Saccharomyces cerevisiae S288C: one gene and its partner. The gene in region 2 interacts genetically with the main gene of each other region. Each region holds a gene or a part of one and is shown on either strand. Other genes may lie near its edges. The genes, in order: AEP3 and MIS1.

The links.
Region 1: mutations in MIS1 (region 2) and AEP3 are lethal when combined (synthetic lethality), as found in Saccharomyces cerevisiae (one study listed by BioGRID).

The regions. Positions count from the first base shown.
Region 1 is NC_001148.4:544,817-553,375, forward strand, and holds AEP3 (Aep3p), read left to right. Parts: upstream 1-3,669; coding exon 3,670-5,490; downstream 5,491-8,559. Other genes in the region: NCR1 (sphingolipid transporter), read left to right, coding at 1-3,327; lipid-binding protein LSP1, read right to left, coding at 5,816-6,841; ULA1 (Ula1p), read left to right, coding at 7,204-8,559. UniProt on the Saccharomyces cerevisiae protein: Required for respiration. Stabilizes the mitochondrial bicistronic mRNA encoding ATP6 and ATP8, 2 subunits of the proton-translocating ATP synthase.
Region 2 is NC_001134.8:406,867-423,348, reverse strand, and holds MIS1 (trifunctional formate-tetrahydrofolate ligase/methenyltetrahydrofolate cyclohydrolase/methylenetetrahydrofolate dehydrogenase MIS1), read right to left. Parts: upstream 12,296-16,482; coding exon 9,368-12,295; downstream 1-9,367. Other genes in the region: IST2 (Ist2p), read left to right, coding at 308-3,148; YBR085C-A (uncharacterized protein), read left to right, coding at 4,185-4,442; ADP/ATP carrier protein AAC3, read right to left, coding at 6,443-7,366; 60S ribosomal protein eL19 RPL19A, read left to right, coding at 8,088-8,089, 8,596-9,163; TEC1 (Tec1p), read right to left, coding at 12,720-14,180; E2 ubiquitin-conjugating protein UBC4, read left to right, coding at 16,180-16,226, 16,322-16,482. UniProt on the Saccharomyces cerevisiae protein: Mitochondrial isozyme of C-1-tetrahydrofolate synthase.

The DNA of each region.
Region 1 (8,559 bases), on a different chromosome or scaffold from region 2:
GTTTGTGGTGAAGAGTGGAAAGAGGTCCGTTATGCCTGCTGTACTAAAGATCAAGTGGTAGCACTGAGAGATAACCTACAAAAGGCTCAACCTTTAATTTCCTCATGCCCAGCATGCCTCAAGAATTTTAATAACCTGTTCTGTCACTTCACTTGCGCTGCTGACCAAGGAAGGTTTGTCAATATTACCAAGGTAGAAAAGTCAAAAGAAGATAAAGATATTGTTGCGGAATTAGACGTTTTCATGAATTCGTCTTGGGCATCTGAATTTTATGACTCATGTAAGAATATTAAATTTTCTGCTACCAACGGTTATGCGATGGACCTAATCGGAGGTGGTGCTAAAAATTACAGTCAATTCTTGAAGTTTTTGGGGGATGCTAAACCTATGCTTGGTGGATCCCCCTTTCAGATTAATTACAAGTATGATTTAGCAAATGAAGAAAAAGAATGGCAGGAATTTAATGATGAGGTTTATGCTTGCGATGATGCTCAATATAAATGTGCGTGTTCTGATTGTCAAGAGTCTTGCCCCCATTTAAAACCTTTAAAAGATGGCGTGTGTAAAGTTGGCCCTCTGCCATGTTTTTCCCTTTCTGTTCTGATCTTTTACACAATCTGTGCACTTTTTGCATTTATGTGGTATTATCTCTGTAAAAGAAAAAAAAACGGGGCAATGATTGTGGACGACGATATTGTTCCAGAATCAGGTTCCTTAGATGAATCAGAGACGAATGTATTCGAAAGTTTCAATAATGAAACTAACTTTTTTAATGGTAAACTCGCTAACCTATTTACGAAAGTGGGACAATTTTCCGTTGAAAACCCCTACAAGATATTAATAACCACTGTTTTTAGTATCTTTGTATTCAGTTTCATCATATTTCAGTACGCTACTCTTGAAACAGATCCAATTAATTTGTGGGTGAGTAAAAATTCTGAAAAATTCAAAGAAAAAGAGTACTTCGATGATAATTTTGGGCCATTTTACAGGACAGAGCAAATATTTGTTGTGAATGAGACAGGCCCTGTGTTATCATATGAGACACTTCACTGGTGGTTTGACGTTGAAAATTTTATTACGGAAGAGCTACAATCGTCAGAAAATATTGGATACCAAGATCTCTGCTTCAGACCAACAGAAGATTCTACATGCGTAATAGAGTCTTTTACTCAGTATTTTCAGGGGGCCTTACCAAACAAGGATAGCTGGAAAAGGGAACTGCAGGAATGTGGGAAATTTCCTGTAAACTGTCTACCTACTTTCCAGCAACCTCTAAAAACTAATCTTCTTTTCAGTGACGATGATATTCTCAATGCGCATGCGTTTGTTGTAACACTTCTATTGACCAACCACACTCAATCAGCTAATCGCTGGGAAGAAAGATTGGAAGAGTATTTATTGGATTTAAAGGTCCCCGAGGGCCTGAGGATCAGTTTTAATACCGAAATATCCTTGGAAAAAGAGCTTAATAATAATAATGATATCTCGACCGTTGCAATATCATACCTGATGATGTTTTTATATGCTACATGGGCCTTGAGGAGAAAGGATGGGAAAACTAGGTTGTTACTTGGAATATCTGGTTTACTCATAGTTTTGGCTTCTATTGTTTGTGCAGCCGGATTTTTAACTCTTTTTGGTTTGAAGTCGACATTGATCATAGCAGAAGTAATACCGTTTCTAATTTTAGCAATAGGAATAGATAATATTTTCTTGATTACACATGAGTATGATAGAAATTGCGAGCAAAAACCGGAGTATTCAATTGATCAAAAAATAATAAGCGCTATCGGGAGAATGTCTCCTTCCATTTTAATGTCATTGCTATGTCAAACCGGATGCTTCTTGATAGCTGCATTTGTTACAATGCCAGCTGTCCATAATTTTGCTATATATTCCACAGTTTCTGTTATATTCAACGGAGTATTACAGCTAACAGCGTATGTGTCCATTTTGTCTCTCTACGAAAAGAGATCCAATTATAAACAAATTACCGGAAATGAAGAAACTAAGGAATCATTTTTGAAAACGTTTTATTTTAAGATGTTAACGCAAAAGAGGCTCATAATCATTATCTTCTCGGCTTGGTTTTTCACATCTCTGGTTTTCTTACCAGAAATTCAATTTGGGCTAGATCAAACATTGGCTGTTCCACAGGATTCCTACCTGGTTGACTATTTTAAGGATGTTTATAGCTTCCTAAACGTAGGACCACCGGTTTACATGGTCGTGAAGAATTTAGATTTGACTAAAAGACAAAACCAACAGAAAATATGTGGTAAATTTACAACTTGCGAAAGAGACTCATTAGCTAATGTACTGGAGCAAGAAAGACACAGGTCAACAATTACGGAGCCATTGGCTAATTGGCTGGACGATTATTTCATGTTTTTAAATCCTCAAAACGACCAGTGTTGTAGATTAAAGAAGGGAACAGATGAGGTTTGTCCTCCCTCTTTTCCAAGTAGACGTTGTGAAACTTGTTTCCAGCAGGGTTCTTGGAATTACAACATGTCAGGGTTTCCTGAGGGCAAGGACTTCATGGAATACCTAAGCATATGGATTAATGCGCCTAGTGACCCCTGCCCTCTAGGTGGTCGTGCGCCATATTCGACTGCGTTAGTTTATAATGAAACGAGTGTGTCTGCGTCAGTTTTCAGAACAGCTCATCATCCTTTGAGATCCCAAAAGGACTTTATCCAGGCGTATAGTGATGGAGTTAGGATATCAAGTTCTTTCCCCGAACTAGATATGTTTGCATACTCGCCGTTTTACATTTTTTTTGTTCAATATCAAACTTTGGGACCATTGACGTTGAAGCTAATAGGGAGTGCCATTATCCTAATTTTTTTCATTTCATCTGTTTTCTTGCAGAATATACGCAGCTCATTCTTACTGGCTTTGGTCGTTACCATGATTATCGTAGATATTGGTGCTTTGATGGCCCTACTAGGTATCTCACTCAACGCTGTCAGTTTAGTCAATTTAATTATTTGTGTCGGTTTGGGTGTCGAGTTTTGTGTTCATATTGTTAGATCATTTACAGTGGTCCCCAGTGAAACCAAGAAAGACGCAAACTCAAGAGTTCTCTATTCCTTGAATACCATAGGTGAGTCCGTCATCAAAGGTATAACTCTAACCAAATTCATTGGAGTTTGTGTACTTGCATTCGCCCAATCGAAAATATTTGATGTATTTTACTTTAGAATGTGGTTTACACTAATCATTGTAGCAGCATTGCATGCTCTCCTATTTTTACCTGCTTTACTTTCATTGTTTGGTGGTGAAAGCTATAGGGACGATTCCATCGAAGCAGAAGATTAGCCATAGCAGATTATACTATATTTTACGTAGTGAAAAAATAGGTAAAAATTCGTTAATTATTCTGATGCCACACCAGAAAATCTGTGGGAAAATTTTTCGAGTCAGAAATGATAACACTAACACAGGCTTCGTTGTTATCGTGCATTGAAGTTAGATACTTCTACTATATTTAATCTTTAATAGTGTCATAAAAGTATTATTGGTTTCGGGCGAAAATCGTCATTTTCGCACACAGAACTTCAAAAGAGGAAAGGCCAAAAGAACTAAAACCGATTACTTCGGGGTGATTTTGTTCTGGCATCTTCTGGCACTCTTGGGCATCCTTAGCCATTTAGTATATTTATGAATACATTAAGGTGTTTGACACAAGCACTATCCAAAAGTGGGAGAGAAGCTCCAAAACTATATCAGAAAGTAATATTTCCAGGCCTGTTCAGAGAGGGTATACCAATTGCAAATGTCAAGAAAGTTGATGAAAAAATAATAGATAGCCCAACATCAACGTCAGTTAATGGAGAGGCAAAAAAAATAGTACGGCATGGTGTGAAGTATGAAAGGGAGCAAGTTAAGGAATACCTTTCAAGCCTGCCGACTTTAACGCTTTCTAGGAAACAAATTAGGGATGACTATGATGAGGAACGTGCAAAACGAATGTATATGTTCTCTAAACAAACGAATTCCTCGAATAAATTCCAGAAACTTCTTACAGCAAAGTCTCAAGAGTTTACTAGAGAACTATTGACGCTACTGATAGATTGCACATCGAATGAGAAGAATTCAGGGCCAGAACGCTTCACTCGTAAGTTTCTTAAGTTTAGTAATGACGAGATCCCTCCTCTCCCTGACTTTTCAAAGAACCCTCAATTGTTTGAAAATTATATTGGAATACTAAGTCATACAAAGTTCAATTTTCGTTCATCTTCCAAACTAAATGGTATTGTGCGTAAGATGCTGCGGCACCTACTTCATCCAACCAATAAGACGACTCTGCCGTTGCGTTCTGCTCAAGTTTATAATGACTCAATATACTTTTTCAGTGAGCACTTCGACTTTGCGTCTTGTAGAGAAATATTTGCACAAATGAAGGCTGAGGGGACTAAACCAAATACAATCACTTTTAATCTTTTACTGCGTAATGTAGTGAAAAACTCGCATATTAGAAAAACGAAGCACCCTGACGATGAGGTCCTTTTTTATCTTAGAAGTATGCGTAATCATGGAGTTTTTGCAGATGTAATAACTTGGACGACATGTTATAACTTTCTTCGTGATGAAGTTTCGAGACAATTGTACATTGTTCAAATGGGTGAACATTTAGGAAATTTTAACGTAAATTTTGTTTATACTGTGCTAAGGAACGGAGATTATAGAGCAGAGGACTGTTTAAAAGTTTTAGCAGCAAATTCACTACCGATTTCCCGTAAGACGTTCTATCTGTGCATAGAACGACTACTAAACGAGGAACAACTTGAAACCGCATCTAAATTACTTGACTATGGTTTTCAGCACTTGAAAAGTAATTTTAAGTTGGACTCGGAGGCAATGAATCATTTCATGCGGGTATTTGCTAATAAGGGAAGAAGTGATTTGGCATTCCTTTGCTATAATACTTGTCGTAAGATTTACAAAATTAAACCTGATTCTCAGACGTTCGAAATGTTATTTAAAGCGTTAGTTAGGAATGGCAACACCAAGAATTTTGGGGCAGTCCTACAGTATATCAAAGACTTAAAGGTTAGTGAAGGATTTGGATTGCGGACAAGTTATTGGAGAACCAAAGCAGACTCAATTTTCAAATTTGGTAGTCCTAATACGCTATCAGAAAAGTCAATTGAAAAAGCAAGAAAATTGTTGGGCAACCTGATTGCTTCCGAGGGTGAGTTCTCTTGGAAAATTTGGAAAGAAAGTGATTCTTCACAAAAAAAAATACTACGTTTTTTGGGTTGTATCCCCACTACTTTACGCTGCACCAATACAGCACAAGATCATCAGAAGCCCACAAACCTACCCTCAAACATTTCCCAGAAAAAAAGAGAATATCGAAATCGGGTTAAAGCAATAGCCACAAAGGCTGCTTTGGAAAAAAGAATGGCGTATATCAAAGACAATGATGTAGCTTTCAAAAAAGAGCTAGTAAAGAGGAGAATAGTTGGGGAGGTTTGATGAGGGAGGCATAAGTGCCCTGGCATTTGGACAGGAATTTTATTAATATAGGCATTTTTATTGTACATATATACTTCATAGATCATATTCATTTAATTAGACTTCGAAAAGTTGAATCTCTTACGGCAAAGGAGAACAAGAGAAAGGTTAATTATTAGGTCTTATAAAATTTGTTCAATTAATTATAAAGGTGATTACAATACCGGAATATTGGCCGAACAATACTTGAACCAAATTCAGATGAAATTAATAATAGGTAGACACGAGCTGGTGAAAAACAAGCACAATATAGAAAGGTTCGAATATATTAATTATTAGAAAAAACTCAGATGTTTTCAGAACCGGAGGTATGACCGTTTTGACTAACATGATGATCGGCCTCATGGGCTTCATCATCTACAGGAACTTCAGTAGTCCATTCAACTTCCTCTTCTTCGACTACTTGACCGGGGATATCTCCATTTTGGATTTCAGGTTCTTCTTCTTCTTCACCATCTTCGTCTTCATAGACGTCATCAACGGTCTGATGAAATGAAAGAGTTGGTTTGACTGCAGCCATGTCTAGGGTCCAAGATTCCAAGGCCGATTCAGCATCCATAATAATTTGGCGAGAAGCTTCATAGCCATCGTACGCTGGTCTAGCTTCACCTGGAGTGACAGGAGAGTCATCTAGCAGCTCCAATAAGGCCTTTCCGTATCCAGCAATCAGGGCAAATTTTTCAGAAAGCTCTCTTAATGAATCAAACATATAACTATAAGCAGCCTTTAATTTTTCACGTGTGATATTCGATAATTGAGCCTCCGCAACCAAAGATTCAGCTTCGGCACGAACTAGTTCTTGCTCTAAAACTGGGATTTTTGTTGATTGAGGATCTTTATATTTCAAATGGGCAATTTCATCTGTGATCTTTTCCTTACGATCTCTCGAAGGTTGAACAGAGGCTTCAATGTTCCTAATTGATTTTAATGTGACTCTGTATTGATCATATTTATCGATGAACTGGTCCTGTAGTTCACCCAACTCATATATTAAGACGCCTAATTTGTCGGTTACGTCGGAAACATCATCATCATTGTCAGCACCCCATAGAGACAGTTGCTTTGCAGCTTCACGGCGTTCGCTGGCAACAACTTCCATAGCTCTAAGGACACCTTTTTCAGTCTTAACCAATTGAGATAATTTACGAGCCAACTCTGGCCCAAAGTTACCAGCCGCATTTTTTCTAAAACTAGACGCAATAGAGGCCTTTCCGAAGAACTTGGACTTCGTTGAGGATGGTGGTGGTGGAGGAGCTTGTAGCTCAGCAGCCGTTGGAGCTCTTTGATTTCTTAAAGAGTAAGTTCTGTGCATTCTTGTGTTGGAGCTTTGAAAGTTTAATCTTTCGTATACCAAATAAAGAGAATTTACGGTCAAGCATTGGAATTGAGGAAAGAGGTTAACTGATTTTTTTCTTTTCTATCTCACCTGTTTATATATTGCGATTTAGCCGTTGCATCTTCCCGGTTTTTCCGTCTTTTTTTTAAAGGGCCCCTTTTTATCCCCTCTAACGCCTTTCGCAATCCCCTTTTCACTCGGCTGCAACGAGCGGGGTTGTAAGAGCTAAGCTTTCTAGCCTAGCAATGAAATAGAAGGACAAGTCAGACGATTGACGTCAAAAAAATGAGTCGCCTCTCTTTCTTTCTTAGGCCAACTAGACAGCCGTAGATGAAAATATGGAAAGATATGATAGACAGCTGAGACTATGGGGAGCATTGGGCCAAGATAGTTTGAACCGGTCCCGTGTGTGCGTGGTAGGACCTGCTACACCTTTGCTGCAGGAAGTTTTTAAGAATCTGGTGCTTGCCGGAATATCATCTCTTACTTGGCTCAAAGTAGAGTGTGCAGTTCAATCGGGTTCTCTGTTTTTAGCAGAGCTTAAAAAAGATCTTGAGCCATTGGCTTCTAAACAGCTAGAATATGAGGAAAATGACCTTAGAAAGACGTTACAGCAACCTCAGTATGATTGGACCCGCTTCTCGGTGGTGATCTTGACTTGTATTGGTGAGCAAACTGCGATGCTCGATTTAAATGAGATTAGGCGGCAGAGAGGAACAAAGTTTCCGCCTGTTCTAAACACTTTCGTCTCTGGATTTTATGGATATATATATCTGGTACTCTCAGAAACACATTTTGTTTTGCAAGCACACCCAGATAGTAAGAAGTATGATTTACGGTTACAGAACCCTTGGCCTGAACTAATAAATTACGTAGATACATTTGACCTAAGTAAAATGGATACAGCCACGTTTTCTGGTATTCCATATACTGTTTTGCTCATGAAGTGTATTGCAAAACTTGAAAGGGATGGTAATAATGGGAGGATAACGATTGATCAGATGAAGAAAGTTTTAGACCAAATTTGCCTTCCTTTAGGGAATGATGTTATCTACGAACCCAATTATGTGGAAGCTAAACGCTATGCTTACTTGGCCTGCTCTCAAAATGATTGTTGTAAAGAACTGGAAGATCTGCTCCGAAATTTGGAAATATCAGATTATGGGAACGATTGGCATGATACTTATAACTACGAGATTCTCACACTATTATTGACTTTGAAAAATATTGCTAAAGAGAATGGGGAGCTCAGCTTTCAACCTTTAACGGGCACTCTCCCAGATATGGAGTCAACAACGGAAAATTATATCAGACTCAAGAAACTGTATGAAGTAAAAGCAAAGCTTGACAAGTCTCGTGTGGAGGAAAGTTTGGCTCGCAGTAAAAAAATAGTTTCACAGGATGTCTTGGAGACATTTTGTTCTCATTACGGGGAGGTCAGGAAAATATTGCCGCCAAAAAGTGACTTGTTAGGTATTTTTAGCACCTCGAATGCCCTTTTAGATGCATTAGTTATGGTCCAATTCTGGGAGCAACCGGCAGTAACTGCAGAGGATAAAGATGAGTTTATTGGTTTACGAGTCGACGATAACTATTCCGTAATGGCCTTTTTTGGAGGTGCAGTGGTTCAAGAGGCTATAAAGCTTATCACACACCATTACGTTCCTATTGATAACCTATTTTTATATAATGGC
Region 2 (16,482 bases):
CAGTGTGAAAGACTGTAAAAGCTTTCTGATAAATAAGCACTTTCCATATTTTTCAACTGAAAAATAGTTTTCTTTTTGCAGCTATTATTGACTTCATTAAGAAATATCCCTTTTTTCCCCGTTGCAATTATTTCTATAAGGGAAGCTGGAAATAGGGGGCTGGAAAAGATATTTGAACAGTCGCTCCAATAACCGTTCTCACCATCATTAACATTTTTGAAGGTGAATACTGTTTCGGTCGATTTATGGCTAATTTGTCAAATACATTTGAAAAAGATTAAAACAAGCACAAGCGGTTGAGCATACTATGTCGCAGACAATTACATCTCTAGATCCGAATTGTGTTATTGTATTCAATAAAACTTCGAGTGCAAACGAGAAGAGTTTGAATGTCGAATTCAAACGTTTGAATATACATTCTATTATCGAACCTGGCCATGATCTGCAAACAAGCTATGCGTTTATTAGAATCCATCAGGATAATGCGAAACCGCTTTTTTCATTTTTGCAGAATCTGGACTTCATTGAATCCATCATACCATATCATGATACTGAATTGTCCGATGATTTGCATAAACTGATTTCTATCAGCAAATCAAAAATACTGGAGGCTCCAAAACAGTATGAGTTGTACAACCTATCGAATTTGACCAATAATCCCAAACAATCCTTATATTTTGCATTCTTACAGAACTATATAAAATGGTTGATTCCCTTCTCCTTTTTTGGATTATCAATTAGATTTTTATCTAATTTTACGTATGAATTCAATTCCACATACTCGCTGTTCGCCATCCTATGGACATTGTCATTTACAGCCTTTTGGCTTTATAAATATGAACCATTTTGGTCTGATAGACTGAGTAAATACTCATCATTTTCTACCATTGAGTTTCTTCAAGATAAACAGAAAGCCCAAAAAAAAGCTAGTTCGGTTATCATGTTGAAGAAATGTTGTTTTATTCCTGTGGCTTTGTTGTTTGGCGCAATATTACTATCATTCCAGCTATATTGTTTTGCGTTGGAAATTTTCATCAAGCAAATTTATAACGGCCCAATGATTTCCATCTTGTCTTTTTTGCCTACTATACTTATTTGCACGTTTACTCCGGTTTTAACTGTGATTTACAACAAATATTTCGTAGAACCAATGACAAAGTGGGAAAATCATAGCAGTGTTGTGAATGCAAAGAAATCTAAAGAAGCTAAGAACTTTGTTATTATTTTTCTATCCAGTTACGTTCCCCTATTAATTACACTATTTCTTTATCTGCCAATGGGGCATTTGTTGACCGCAGAAATAAGAACTAAGGTTTTCAATGCCTTTTCAATATTGGCCCGTTTACCTACCCATGATTCAGATTTTATTATTGATACAAAGCGCTATGAAGATCAATTTTTCTACTTTATTGTTATCAACCAACTGATTCAATTTAGCATGGAAAACTTTGTTCCAAGCCTTGTTAGCATTGCTCAGCAGAAAATTAATGGACCAAATCCTAACTTTGTCAAAGCTGAGAGTGAAATCGGTAAAGCTCAACTCAGCTCATCAGATATGAAAATTTGGTCAAAGGTTAAGTCGTACCAAACAGACCCCTGGGGAGCAACATTTGATTTGGACGCCAACTTCAAAAAGCTTCTTCTACAATTCGGGTATCTTGTTATGTTTTCTACAATTTGGCCACTAGCTCCATTTATCTGTTTGATAGTCAATTTGATTGTTTACCAAGTCGATTTGAGGAAAGCTGTGCTTTATAGTAAACCTGAGTATTTTCCATTTCCAATCTACGATAAGCCATCCTCTGTGTCTAATACCCAAAAACTGACGGTTGGTCTATGGAACTCTGTCTTAGTTATGTTCTCCATCTTAGGTTGTGTTATCACTGCTACTTTGACCTATATGTACCAGAGCTGTAATATACCAGGTGTCGGCGCTCATACTTCCATCCATACGAATAAAGCTTGGTACCTAGCAAATCCAATAAACCACTCGTGGATAAATATTGTACTATATGCTGTTTTTATTGAGCATGTTAGTGTTGCTATTTTCTTCCTTTTCTCTAGTATTTTGAAATCTTCCCATGATGACGTTGCAAATGGCATTGTGCCAAAGCATGTAGTTAACGTGCAAAACCCACCAAAACAAGAAGTCTTTGAAAAAATTCCCTCCCCTGAATTTAATTCGAATAACGAAAAAGAACTAGTTCAAAGAAAAGGGTCTGCGAATGAGAAGTTGCACCAAGAACTCGGTGAGAAACAGCCTGCCTCTTCTGCCAATGGATATGAGGCACATGCTGCCACTCATGCCAACAATGATCCGTCTTCTTTATCCTCAGCCTCCTCGCCTTCATTATCTTCTTCTTCTTCTAGCAGCAAAACCGGTGTAGTCAAAGCTGTTGATAACGATACAGCCGGATCTGCTGGTAAAAAGCCATTGGCCACAGAAAGTACTGAAAAAAGAAATTCTTTGGTGAAGGTGCCTACCGTTGGCTCATATGGTGTTGCGGGCGCCACTTTACCAGAAACAATTCCAACATCTAAAAATTACTACTTAAGGTTTGATGAGGACGGTAAATCCATTAGGGATGCGAAATCCAGTGCAGAATCTTCCAACGCCACCAATAACAACACCTTAGGCACGGAAAGTAAGCTTTTGCCAGATGGTGACGCCGTTGATGCACTAAGTAGAAAAATTGATCAAATACCCAAAATTGCTGTTACTGGTGGCGAAAATAACGAAAATACCCAGGCCAAAGACGATGCTGCCACTAAGACTCCACTCATTAAAGATGCAAATATTAAGCCTGTTGTCAACGCAGCTGTTAACGATAACCAATCGAAGGTTTCAGTGGCTACTGAACAAACAAAAAAGACTGAAGTAAGCACGAAAAATGGCCCATCAAGATCTATTTCCACGAAGGAAACTAAGGATTCTGCGAGACCATCTAATAACAATACTACTACTACTACTACTACAGATGCTACTCAGCCCCACCATCATCATCACCACCACCGCCATCGTGATGCTGGAGTGAAGAATGTCACGAACAATTCTAAGACAACCGAATCCTCTTCCTCTTCATCGGCGGCAAAGGAAAAACCAAAACATAAAAAGGGGCTATTGCATAAGCTGAAAAAGAAGCTTTAAAAAAAAGCTAGGACGATAACAAATTTTATTTTTATAATATGGTGACATTAAATTAATATGTATTCTTCTTTCTATCAAGTGTATGTTTTATGTATCTCTAATTTTAAAAGAATAATTCATTTTACCTTGTGCAGTGTTTTCATCAAACAGAAATCTCAAGATTTAGTTTCTACGCATGCATTGCCTCTTTCTTCTTCGTTCGAGAGGAGTCACAGCTAGGATTCATTACGTATGTTAGTCACACGATTATATCCAGGGGGGTAGAACATACCGACCATAACTTTTTTGCCGTTTTTCTATTAACCGCGGCTTCTATCAGGAAACCCTTTTTCAGCAAATTAAAAGAGAGCGAGGCTAAAACTCTCTGGTGGCAGTGAAAGATTCTAGGCCGGGTCCAGTTTCTAGGGGTAAAATAGAGCGCAAAAGATCTCGGTGCAGATCTAAGGCGGAAGAAAAGGAAATGTGATCCGATTTTTTATGGAAGCAAATAGAAAAACAGGATCAAACGCTTTTGTGGGCGGGAGATGTTATTATGTAACGGGGCTTTTATTAGCATGTGAAATGCTTTGTAGAAGGGCATCCCTGGAGCCCTTTTGGGCCTTACAGTACATGTTCAAGATTGGCCGACTATTAGCAGAACTACAACTAGGGTTGCAGTGGGAAGTATGAACGATAGGGGTAAGTCTAAATGTGATATAGTTACAGCTAATAATATCTTCTTGCTTAGTTTTGTTGAATATATGTTGCTTCTGAAGTACGTGCAGTTACGTCAGTGCGCGCATACATGTTATCCATATTCCTTTTTCCTCTTTTTGACCCGCACTTCATTTCGCGGTTTTTTTTCTTGTTTTGGTTTGCCCCCATTAATTATCTGATCTGGGCTTTTTCTGGCAATAAGTAGTTATCACCGGATCATCTCATTATTATAAAAGGGACAAAGGACTTGCGGCTCCAGTTTGTATAAGGGAAAGCGGCGCACTCTTCATTCGATAGGGGCTCAAGTTACCAACTACAATAAATTACATTATACTATAACATGTCATCTGCTCTATACAAACAAAGCACAAATTTTACTCATTCTACCGGTTCTTTCTTGCAAAGCGCACCTGTTGAACTGACGACAGTCAGTGGGTACCAGGAGTTTTTGAAGAAGCAAGAGAAAAAGAACTATGAAATTCAAACAGTTTTAAGCGAGGATAAATCACATGGTTATGTGCTAAAGGACGGCGAAGTCATCGCTAATATCATTGGTGAGGCCAAAGATTATCTTTTGGATTTGGCCGGCCAGGCTTGAACGAGTGGCTAAATATTTGTTCGATACGAGTCACTTCATGCACACTTTGATTTGCACTCTTATTGCTGGGCTGTAGTTTTCTTTTCCGTTTTCGCTTATAAATCTAACATGTTCTATTAGGGGAAAGAAAGGCGCAAATTGTAGAGTTTGTTAGGTCTTTTAAGTACTTGATTTCACCAACCGAAAGTGAAAGAAATAAAAAAAGATAAAGCTATTATTATTACCATGACCCTGTCATTGGTTTAAAACGTTTGTCCGTCTGCTTTTGATGTTTTTAAAAAAAATTTAAATAAATATTCTAAATAAGTGAATTACAGGCTGGTAGATAGTTCGTATACGTATAAGTTTTTCATTTAATTAATTTCGTCTCTATACCTGGACGCATTGTAGTTGAGTTTTCTAGAGATTTGGAGGTGTCTTAAAGCATCCGAACTGGGAGGTCTCGCAAATCAGAGGTCTTGGTCAAAAGTGCAAAATTCTTTAAAGGACGAATACTGAAAGTATCGTTTGCTGCTATTCATTAGGCAACCTCATCTTACTTCGGGACCGACAGGGAAAACAGTCACACGTTTTAAAAATGGATTTTTCCCTGTCTAGTATAGTATGATCAGAGCAGGAACGGCGCTCAACTACATGCGCGTTGTGGTACGTCCGCTCTATGAAAGGGCATTTCCTGCGCAGCCGACTACGGACCCTTTCAATAACTTGTTTTACCCTCTAAAATCCCTTAAACATGACTATATATAATTAAAAGGCGATGTATCACATGAATAGAAAAGCTCGCAATCTTTTCTCATTTTTAATTCTTGTCAGTTTTGAATTTCTCAGTTGAAAAATATCCCCAAAAAAGACCTGAAATTTACTCAACCAATTGCGAAAAATTGATCATCTTTTTCATACTATGTCTTTCATTTCCAACGTCCACAAGTACTGTAGAAATGTCTAGCGAAAATTATGAGAAAATAATGGTGTAATCGTTATAAAGTTTGCTAAATTTTTGTCTTGCTTTTGAGAGGGCATATGTTTGCGCAATCCCAAAAAATATTTCAAAAATATTAAATTTCTTTGAATACTTCATTCTCAGTAAGAATTATTCTTTTTTAACAGGAACTGAACTTTTATCCCGTTGAGAGGACGATGAGAATGTTGGAAATAGTCATAAGAAGGTCCTAAGTTTGTATTCTTCTGAAATCTTTCTCCCTTTTTGCTATGAAATTTATTTGAGAATTGTCAAAAAAATAAAAATAAAATGTTAAAATTAAAAACCAAAATGTAATAATACTGACAATAATTGATTCTTATCTAAGTTCTCGAAAACCCTAACAAATATTATAAAATGGATCAGGATGCTTATCTTGAAGCATCACTCTCCAAATAGTGAAGGTTGAGTCTTAGAACCGTTATGTTTACCATTGATCATTGGCAAACTTTGGCAACAAATTTCTCAATGGAATGTAGAACAAAAACGCGGAAGCTCTTATAAGGTCTACACCCCGAAAGGAAAATTATGCTCATCTTGATAAAGCTTTGAGAAATTATCCTGGATAGTTCCGTTGAGCTCAAAACTATGGTTCTGATTTCTAAAAATTCATTGGCGCTTCCGTAATTAACGCTAATAATTGGATCGTTAATTAAATGGTAAATACGAAAAATGGGTATAAAATTGATAGCCAAGGTACTTAAAAGGGGGGGAATGCACTTAACAAAGAACCTTCATCATTGTGGAAAACTTGGAGACAATGTCCAAATTGTGTGAAAATTGCTATCCAACCATCTGAAAGCCGAAAGTTAAAGGTCTCAAGTTCACTTCCCCAAAAAGCAATCGAACAACAGTGGCTGATTTACAAATTTATTCAGTTATACTCTATAATAAAAAATAAAAGAAAGCGATACATAACCTTCCTACTATTTTTTTTCTATAAACAAGTTGGCGGCCAAAATCAAATCGATCGAAAGGTGAAGAGAAGTCGAGAAAATGACTTTTTTCTTCATCCAACTGATCATTTGAATTTTTTACCGAACAATATCATTTGCAACTGGTCATACATGGAAATAACACCAGCTCCAGCAACACTTCTCAAGATATTTGCCCCGCAGCCTTTGAACAATGACCCTACACCTTCAGAAGCTACGATTTTTTTGAGACAATCTATAGCACCGTTGTACTTTACTGCTTGACCTGAAGTCATCATCATTCTTCTTCTCACTGTGTCTAATGGATAAGAACATGTTGAGGCACCTGTAGTGACCACCCATCCCAATAAAAATGAAGCCAAGAATGAACCATCTAATGAACCAGTTAGCACCAGTGGCTTGAGAGAATCAAACATACCGAAATATAGTCCTCTATAAACCACGATACCCACTACTGATGGCATGAATCCTCTGTATAATCCTGCGATACCATCCGATTTCAAGGTCTTTTTATAAACATCAGTCAACCCATTGAATTGGCGAGCGCCACCCTTTTTCGACGATTTTGCATCAGCAGCAAGTCTGGTTCTGGCAAAATCTAAAGAATAAACAAATAATAACGAAAGAGCACCAGCTGCACCACCAGAAGCCAGATTACCTGCAAACCATTTACCATAGCCTTCCTCTTTCTTGAAACCAAACATCAACTTAATCTTATCTTTGAAGGCGAAGTTCAAAGCTTGAGTGGGAAAATAACGAATAACATTGGCAGTATTTCCTCGCCAAAAGGATATTAGTCCCTCTTGCTTTGCAGTTCTCTTGAAACAATCCACGATACCGGAATACTTTTTATCTAAAGTTCCTTGCTTGATCATTTCATCTTGATTTTGGATCAAGATCTTGACTCTTTCGATTGGTGAGGCAGCAGTTTTAGCGATGGCCGCACTCACACCACCCATTAAGAAATTAATGGCAAAGTTTGTTTCTTGTTGCTTAGCGTCGCTACTCATTGTTTCTCAAGGCACAGTATATCACTTCAGGTAAACCGTCTTCAATTGAGTTAATTATACTCACACCACTTCTTTAGTCTTTCTATCTGAAATCATTCAAGCGCACTTTAGATTCACTTCAACGCCTAATGAAAAGGACAATGGAAAACCCTTCTCGAGAAATCTTATATGTAATTTGAAGGCAACCAAACAATGAAAAAGAAAAAAAAAAAAAAAAAGGAAAAACTTTATTTCAAAATTCGTCAACCCACTAAGGTTTATTACAAGTTCGTCTCATTTCCTTTTTTACACCCATGCATTTTGTCATCCAGACATTACGCATTTTCCGTGAAGATTTTTTTTCTTCGTTTCGTTTAATATCCGTTCTCGGTGAGGAGGCCATTGGAAGCATGTCTTCCGCTTAGCACCAGACTGAGAGAGAGTGCGATGCTTAGCATAATTTTGGTTGCCTCTTCGAATTGCTCCTGACAGTGTACTATACGCTGGCCGGGGCCGTGGCAATCCCTGGGTAGCAGCTGGCATGGACTCCTTTCACGAATCCTGCCAGACTAGGGCGGTCTCAGTTGGAAGCCGTCTTCCTTGCAAACTACGATAGGCATCGACCTAACTTCTCTGAGGGGGAAACAAAAATATAGGTTTGGACAGTGATCAACAGAGAATACAAGGTAACTATTGATTTTACGCTTCACATAGAAAGTTGATTAAGAACTCCAAAGCAAAAATGTATGTGATGCAGTGAATAATGAATCTATGAAAGTTTATCAGGAATAAGATAGAATTGTTATAATAACTCCCTCTTGAGGAATGCGAGTTTGATGAGTTATCACCTGAAACACCAGCGTTATTGAAAAGTGATATGGGTAATATATGCCAAGAACGATACTGTGTTCCATTTGCATCATGAATATGCTAGTGAAGCCAGATGTTTCTATAATCGGAGTTTTAGCACTAAAAGGCAAAAGAGGAAACTTGTGGAAGAATTTTTTTTCTGTGCAGTTTACCATTAAGATATTTATAGCGATAAGTGAGACCATTAATATGAGTATTCAATACGAGAACCAGTTACGTGATAAAAGTTACTCGAGCTGCTGCAGTATCCAGCATACATAATAACCATGTCATTTTTCTATAGCGAGTTTTAAAGTGTCTACCACCGCAATTTCTATCTTTCGACGCGAATAGACTTTTTCCTTCTTACAGAACGATAATAACTAACATGACTTTAACAGGGCTAATTTACGTACTCAAAAGAGACTTGCCGCTTCTGTCGTCGGTGTCGGTAAGAGAAAGGTTTGGTTAGATCCAAATGAAACCTCTGAAATTGCTCAAGCCAACTCCAGAAACGCCATTAGAAAATTGGTTAAGAACGGTACCATCGTAAAGAAGGCCGTTACCGTCCACTCTAAATCCAGAACCAGAGCCCATGCTCAATCTAAGAGAGAAGGTCGTCACAGTGGTTACGGTAAGAGAAAGGGTACCAGAGAAGCCCGTTTACCATCCCAAGTTGTCTGGATCAGAAGATTACGTGTCTTGAGAAGATTATTGGCTAAGTACCGTGATGCTGGTAAGATTGACAAGCACTTGTACCATGTTTTGTACAAGGAATCTAAGGGTAACGCTTTCAAACACAAGAGAGCCTTGGTTGAACACATCATCCAAGCTAAGGCTGATGCTCAACGTGAAAAGGCTTTGAACGAAGAAGCTGAAGCTAGAAGATTGAAGAACAGAGCTGCTCGTGACAGAAGAGCTCAAAGAGTTGCTGAAAAGAGAGATGCTTTATTGAAGGAAGACGCTTAAATTTTCTTTAATTAATTTATCTTAATATACATACTCAGTTAATAAACAGGTAGCAAAAACTTCGATAATACGTATGTATGCACATATACCTACATAACTAAAACCCATTTTTCTAATATTCTCATCTCAATTGTTTATATAAAGGGTACTCGTGCAGACGGACATCGAGGTCGAATTGATGCCATTAGGAGTCTGCCAAACTATTTAAAATAGACCTTCAATTTCACCGTCGTCGTCGACTTCTACTGCCATGTAACCAGCATATGTCGATAGACCCGGTATGGTTTGAATTTCTGCAGCCAAAGCGTATAAATAACCTGCACCTATTGAAGCTCTCACATCCCTGATGGGGAACGTAAAACCTCTAGGAACACCCTTTAATGATGGATCATGGGATAATGAATATTGTGTCTTAGCAATACAGATGGGAAGATTACCGAAGCCTTGTTTTTTGTAGGTGTCTATCTTTTTTTGGGCTTCTGGTGATACTTCGATTTTTGCCCCACCATACATTTTTTGGACGATGCTGGTAAGCTTGTCCTCGATGGAGCTATTGACGTCGTACAAAAAGTTAAAGTTCTTTGGTTCTTTCGTTGCATCTACCACAGCATGTGCTAATTCTACTGCACCTTTACCACCTTCCATCCAGTGATTAGAAGTAACGGCATGAGATGCGCCAGCATTCAAGGCTGCTTTCTTGATTACCTCAATCTCTGCCTGTGAGTCTGTTTCAAATCTGTTGATTGCTACAACGACTGGTATTCCAAACGTTTTGATGTTTTCAATCTGCTTAACCAAATTACTAACACCCTTGGCAACAAAATCGATGTTTTCCTCTGTGTATTCTTTTGGTAATGATTGTCCGGGCTTAACATTTGGAGCACCTCCATGAGATTTCAAAGCTCTTACGGTTGCGACTAAGACAACTGCATCTGGCACCAATCCAGAGGAACGACATTTGATATCAAAGAATCTTTCACCACCCATGGCAAAATCGAATCCTGCTTCAGTAACTACATAACCAGGTTCATGGATGTTCTTGTCATTTAACGGGTTCTTTTCTGAACCAACAAGCTTCAATGCCATTAAGTCTGCAATTACTGATGATGCGCCGATGGAGATGTTGGCGAAAGGACCAGCGTGAACCATTACGGGGGTCCCTTCCAAAGTTTGCATTAAGTTAGGCTTTATAGCGTCACGTAATAATGCAGTCAGAGCACCGGTACAGCCAATATCTTCTACTGTTACTGGTTTGTTATCATAATCAGCACCAATAACCATGCGTCCAATACGTTCCTTCATCTCGTGTAAGCTTTTAGATAGAGCTAAAATGGCCATTAATTCAGAGGCAACAGTGATATCGAATCCAGTGGTCCTTGTAAAACCCTTCTCCGTAGCGGCTTCGCCAATGGTAATTTGTCTTAACATCCTGTCATTGATGTCGACAACTCTTCTGATAGTGATAGTATCGGGATTTATGTTCAATCTAGCAAATCTTTTGACTTCTTCAGGTGTTAAAGCATCAGGGTCTTCTTTTTCAATATCCAATCTTTTAAGCCTTCTCTGCATGGATGGGGTAAACTTTCTGATGCCTTTTTTTCTTGGAACTAGTCTCTTGTAAAATGTACTATCATTCTTCTGAGTGGCTTCATGGAACATTCTAGTGTCGATAGCTGCTGCAAGAAGATTGTTCGCAGCGCTGATAGCATGAATATCCCCGGTCAAATGTAAATTGAACTCGTCCATAGGAATAACTTGGGCATAACCACCACCAGCAGCACCACCTTTGACACCCAGGGTTGGGCCAAGAGATGGTTGTCTAACGTTCGCGATGGATGGTTTCCCTAAATGAGCGGATAAAGCCTGCACCAACCCCATAGTCGTAGTGGATTTACCTTCACCCAATGGAGTCGGAGTAATACCTGCAACAAGGACGTACTTACCGTTTTCTCTAGATTCTAATCTTTTAAAAATATTTGGAGAAATTTTTGCCTTATAGTGGCCGTATAATTCTAATTCGTGAGAGTGGATTCCCAACTCCTCGGCAACTTGCTTGATATGCTTAGGACTCTGAGCTCTTGATATATCAATATCTGAAGGCACTGGACTTTCTAAGTGTAATGGAAGAGGTTTGATAACTGGAAGCTTTTCAGATTCCACGAATTGCCTTTTAGCAGCTAATAGTACATTGGAAACAAGCATAGCGACAGTCATTGGACCCACTCCACCAGGAACAGGGGTAATATAAGATGTCTTTTCCTTTACAGAATCAAAATCAACATCACCAACTAATTTTTGCCCACTTTTCTTACTGATATCAGGTACGTAGTTGATACCTACATCAATAACCACGGCGCCTTCTTTAATCCAGTCTGATTTAACGTATTGAGGAATACCGCAAGCTGCGATAACTATATCAGCTTGGGAGACCACTTCTGCAATGTTCCTTGTATGACTATGACAGACAGTAACAGTGGCATTCGCATTTTTCAACAACGAAGCAATTGGATTTCCGACGATACTTGATCTGCCTAACACGACGGCGTTCTTACCATCTAACTTAACATGAGCTTCTTCAAGTAATTTCATGCAACCATAAGGAGTACATGGTATGAAGTATGGTTTCCCTCCTTTTTTAGCCAATTCACCAGCATTATATCTGTGGAACCCATCAACGTCCTTTTTAAAGTCCACAGCGTTTGTAATCGTGGTTTCATCCAAGTGACGCGGTAGAGGTAGTTGAATTAGCAACCCATGGATAGAGTCATCATCATTGATGTCACTAATTTTCTTCAAAAGCTCAACTTCAGTGATTTCTGCTGGTAACTTCTCTATGATACAGTCTACATTGCTGTCCTTTGAAGCTTTCAATTTCATCCTCACGTACGTAGATGAGTCTGGTCTGGCCCCGACTTGAATGATTTTCAAGGTAGGCTTGAAATTAGGATGCTTAAGCTTAATGGCTTGTATCTCATCATTGGCTTTTTCTCGAATAGATTGAGCAAGTTTCCTACCAGAAAGAATATGGTATTGAGAAGCATGCACAGTTGGCGAAACTTTTAAGCGGTAAATGCGCCATCTGGCCTGTTGGAACGCCCTCGAGTTACTCAATAAAGATAGTCTCGACAACATTTCCTTTTAGCCTTAAATATCTGACAAATGAACAGACTGAGAGAATCACAGTAATGAAAGTTGTTTTTTGATGTGTATTGGCTGGTTTACTTCTGCAATTCTTGAGGCATCGAGAACCGCTGCAACATTATTTCGGAGGAAAAAGAAAAAAAATCGCTGTCCGTTGAAGTGAAAAAAATTTCAGCATGGCGCTAGAGAACTTTCTTACTCGTTCTGGCGCGTCAGTAAAAAAGAACTCGGGAAACAATAAGAACCATACATGTGCGATAGAAGAGTGTTGCAGGAGTAGCTTTGGTTTTGTTCGAGAACTGGTAATGTTTGACTAATACATAATTGTACCGTGCTCAATCATATCTGTGACGGTTCTTACTACGAAGATACGTATGCGTATTTATGTACGAGATGTATGTATGTATGTAGACATTTAATAAAAGTTCCCATGCGATTGGTTGGATGGCGTAAAGTTCCTTTGATGTGGAGAATGTTCGTAATGCTGGGGTGATGATAATAACAGCTGCGAAAAATAAGATGTTTGGTACTGGGGCAGACCTTGAATATAATTGGCATTGTAAGCATCTTCAGCAGGTCTTGGATACATGGGCCTTCCTCGTACTTTGGAGAGTGAGTAGGGCATTCCATTATTCTTGTAGTATGGCACTGGTCTGCTTTGGAGTTGTGTGACTGTGGCTGATCTTGGGACTACTTCTTCCTCCGATTCGTACTCTGAACCGGAATTGGAATTGGAACTGAACTCAGGATTACTTTCATGTTCTTGTATGCGGGAAATTCTTTGGTATTTGTTGATTATCTTTCTCTGCTCTATTTCGATTTTTTTTGCACTCTCCAGGATTGCCTTCTTGTTGGAAAAGCTAGCCTTATTGGGGCGATCTCCCTGGTGGAGTTCCGTGGGGGAAAGTTGTTCAAGAGGCCTCTTTGACGGAACGCACTTGTAGCCGTCTATGTTTTCATAAATGTGCTTAGCGTAAATGAGGGGGGTTTTGGCTTGAGATGCAGCATTAGTTTTTATGAAATTTTCAATTTTTTTCTCGTTGGAAGCAGTGATTGGCGTAAGCAGTTTTGAATGTACTGACAATCCACTGCTATTATTACTTACATAGAGGTTTTTAGGGGTTAAACTTCCAGAATCACTGACTGAAGGTAGAGAGTCGATAATTTCTTCAAATATGTCATAAAACAGGTTTGAGTTTTCAGTAGTTTGTTCAGCGCCATGTTCGATAAGGTGTAGAAGCTCCTTCTCCTTTGATGATAGGGTCAGCGAGTCCTTGATTTTGTTTTGTATGGTCTTCTTCCAGACTTGAATATGGGAAGAAATTTGCTTTTTGGTTCTGAACTCGTTGGTTTTGTGCTTGATATATAATGAAATCAGCTCGTTTCTTCCAAAATTGGCATTTCTTATTTTTATTTTTGTGGTCCCATTTTTCATTATCAGTCTAAGTGCCTCAAGGAATGCCTCTTCTACCTTTTCTGACCACTTATCACAACCGATAGTCCAAGATTCCGTTGTTGACGACGTTTCGCTACTTTGTCCGGGAAAGTAGTTGCTCACAGATATATTTGGTACTTCATTCTTCCTCTGCTTGTCAGTGAACGTAGCCTTTGCTGATGGAGATTTCAAATCGTCCGATTTAGCACCCAGTCCAGTATTTACCAGTTCGAATTGAGGATGCGTGTCTATGAGATTGATGTTATCCTCCGCTTCATTTTTCACACAAGCGGCGGTTGAAACTACGGCTTCTGGAAACATATCATCCAAGGCCGACTGTGAATACGAATCTTTTTGTATATATACGTCAAAAATTCTACCAGTATATGATTCTATATTTCTAGAATTATCCTTGCCAAAGTCGTCTTCTTTAAGACTCATGGTTAAACAGGTATCAGAATTGTTGAAATAGGTGGATTATTCTTCTTGTCGATATGGGAGGAATCTGGCACCAGTCGAAGAATCTCCTGTTTCATAAACATTTATAAAAGTAAGAAAAGGGTTGTCATATGTAAAAAATTAAGCAAGCCTTTTGTTTCAAACTTAATATATACCTCTGCGGGGGAATTACTTTTTTGGTAATAAGCTATTTTCTCCAGCTATGGGCCGTACCATCGAGAGAAACTCCAGCACCATGGATTGCTGATGGTAGCTACAGGTGCTTTTTAACTGTGCATGAGCCAAGAGCCTTGTGAGGGACCATTCGTGGAGTCCAGCTCAGCTTGTTTCCGGAGAGTTTCCCAGAATAATAAGCAAACGCAATCTGAAACACGCACATTCCCGAATTCAATGGGAAATTCTTTGAGTCGTACGCGGAATGCGAGCGGTGCCGGGGAATTCCAATGAGGCTGATTAAACCGGACTACGGGCAAAATGGCTCATCTGAAACACCTTGCGCCGATAAAAGACCCTCACCTGTGTCACTAAATGGAAAGAGTTGGCGTAAAATCTTCCTGTAAAAGGATCTCACCATTTTGGCCTAAAACATCATCATATCTGTTTTCGTGGAAAAAAAAGGCCGCTCATACATGAATACAGTGGGCACATGCCACCTGTTATTCCATAGCTGGCTTTACTGTAATATTAGAATAGTTCCTATCTGTGTGAAAAGTTTCTTTCGTTACCTTTTTTTCAGAGTCAAAAGCTGGAGGAGGCTATTGTACTTGCCTGTAGTTCCAGGTAACAATCGCTTAAGCAGTGAGCCCGCTTAATGAGAGCAAGTTATATATGTTTTGCTAAAACCTGCCAGATTCTCAGCCTAGAAGATATAAATCTAACGTGGATTTGTTACAGGCTGTCATACCTTATGTACTTACGCATCGTATCTTGTATGTGTTCACTTTTTTCTGGTAACTACACCACTTGGCTTAACCTTGCCAGGAACCGAGTAGGCCACACATGTTTTGAATATTGTAAGTGTGTACAATAAGCTGCAGTACTCTTTTGATTCTGTAGGAAACCAGCGAAGAACGTACTCTTGCCTGAAGAGAAGTTTTTTTTATTTATTTATATTTTGTTCTGGAAGCTCTTTACAGAATGGAGTAGGAAAATATATAGAGAGGAAAAGCGAAATCGTTACGAGAATAAATAATCAAGAAAAGAAACTTGAACTTGGCTTTTCCAAAACAACAGAAGTAGCGTTAATTTACTTTCACCGTAAAATTCAACTCTTTAAATATAGTCCACTTAGTAAATTCTTGCCAATTTGCATGATAAATTCGAACCCATTCCTCAAAATAAAGGGTCCTCATACATTCCATGGAAAGAAAGTTTTCTTGAACATTAAGAATAAAAAGGCAAAAAAGAAAAAAAAAAGCACAGCTACTGTTTTAGTCAACATTCCTTTCTCACTGGAATGCACAAGGTGTCATTCCTGAACAAGGGTAACTGCACTATTCATATGTCCACCTTATGACTTCATAAAAAGTTTGACAATAAGTAGTCTTACGTGATAAGAAATGATGTAACATAAGGCTAATGTCCTTATTCCAAAGTATCTCATTTATACAATAAACAAAACTGATCTTACCGCCTATCCTCCTCTCCGCACTAATCAATTGTTATAGTTTTTCTCGAAGCGAGGATCAAATGGCCGAGCAACAGGAAAAGGAGTACCGGCGGTCACATGGTCTGCGAGATTTTTCCCGCTGCGGAAAAACCTGGCAACAGCTCACCTTGAAAGGCCTTGGCCTGTATTTTTCTTTTTTCTTCATCCTTCTTTCTTTTTCTTTATTCTTATTTTTCATCTTAATAAATAATCCAGAGAATAAATCTATCCTGAAAAAAAATAAAGTAAAGAAGCCAGGAAAATCACTATCGCCACAAGTAAATAAATTTCACTGACTATAGAGTACATACATAAACAAGCATCCAAAAAAACATGTCTTCTTCTAAACGTATTGCTAAAGAACTAAGTGATCTAGAAAGGTATGTCTAAAGTTATGGCCACGTTTCAAATGCGTGCTTTTTTTTTAAAACTTATGCTCTTATTTACTAACAAAATCAACATGCTATTGAACTAGAGATCCACCTACTTCATGTTCAGCCGGTCCAGTCGGCGATGATCTATATCACTGGCAAGCATCCATCATGGGACCTGCCGATTCCCCATATGCCGGCGGTGTTTTCTTCTTGTCTATCCATTTCCCAACCGACTACCCATTCAAGCCACCAAAGATCTCCT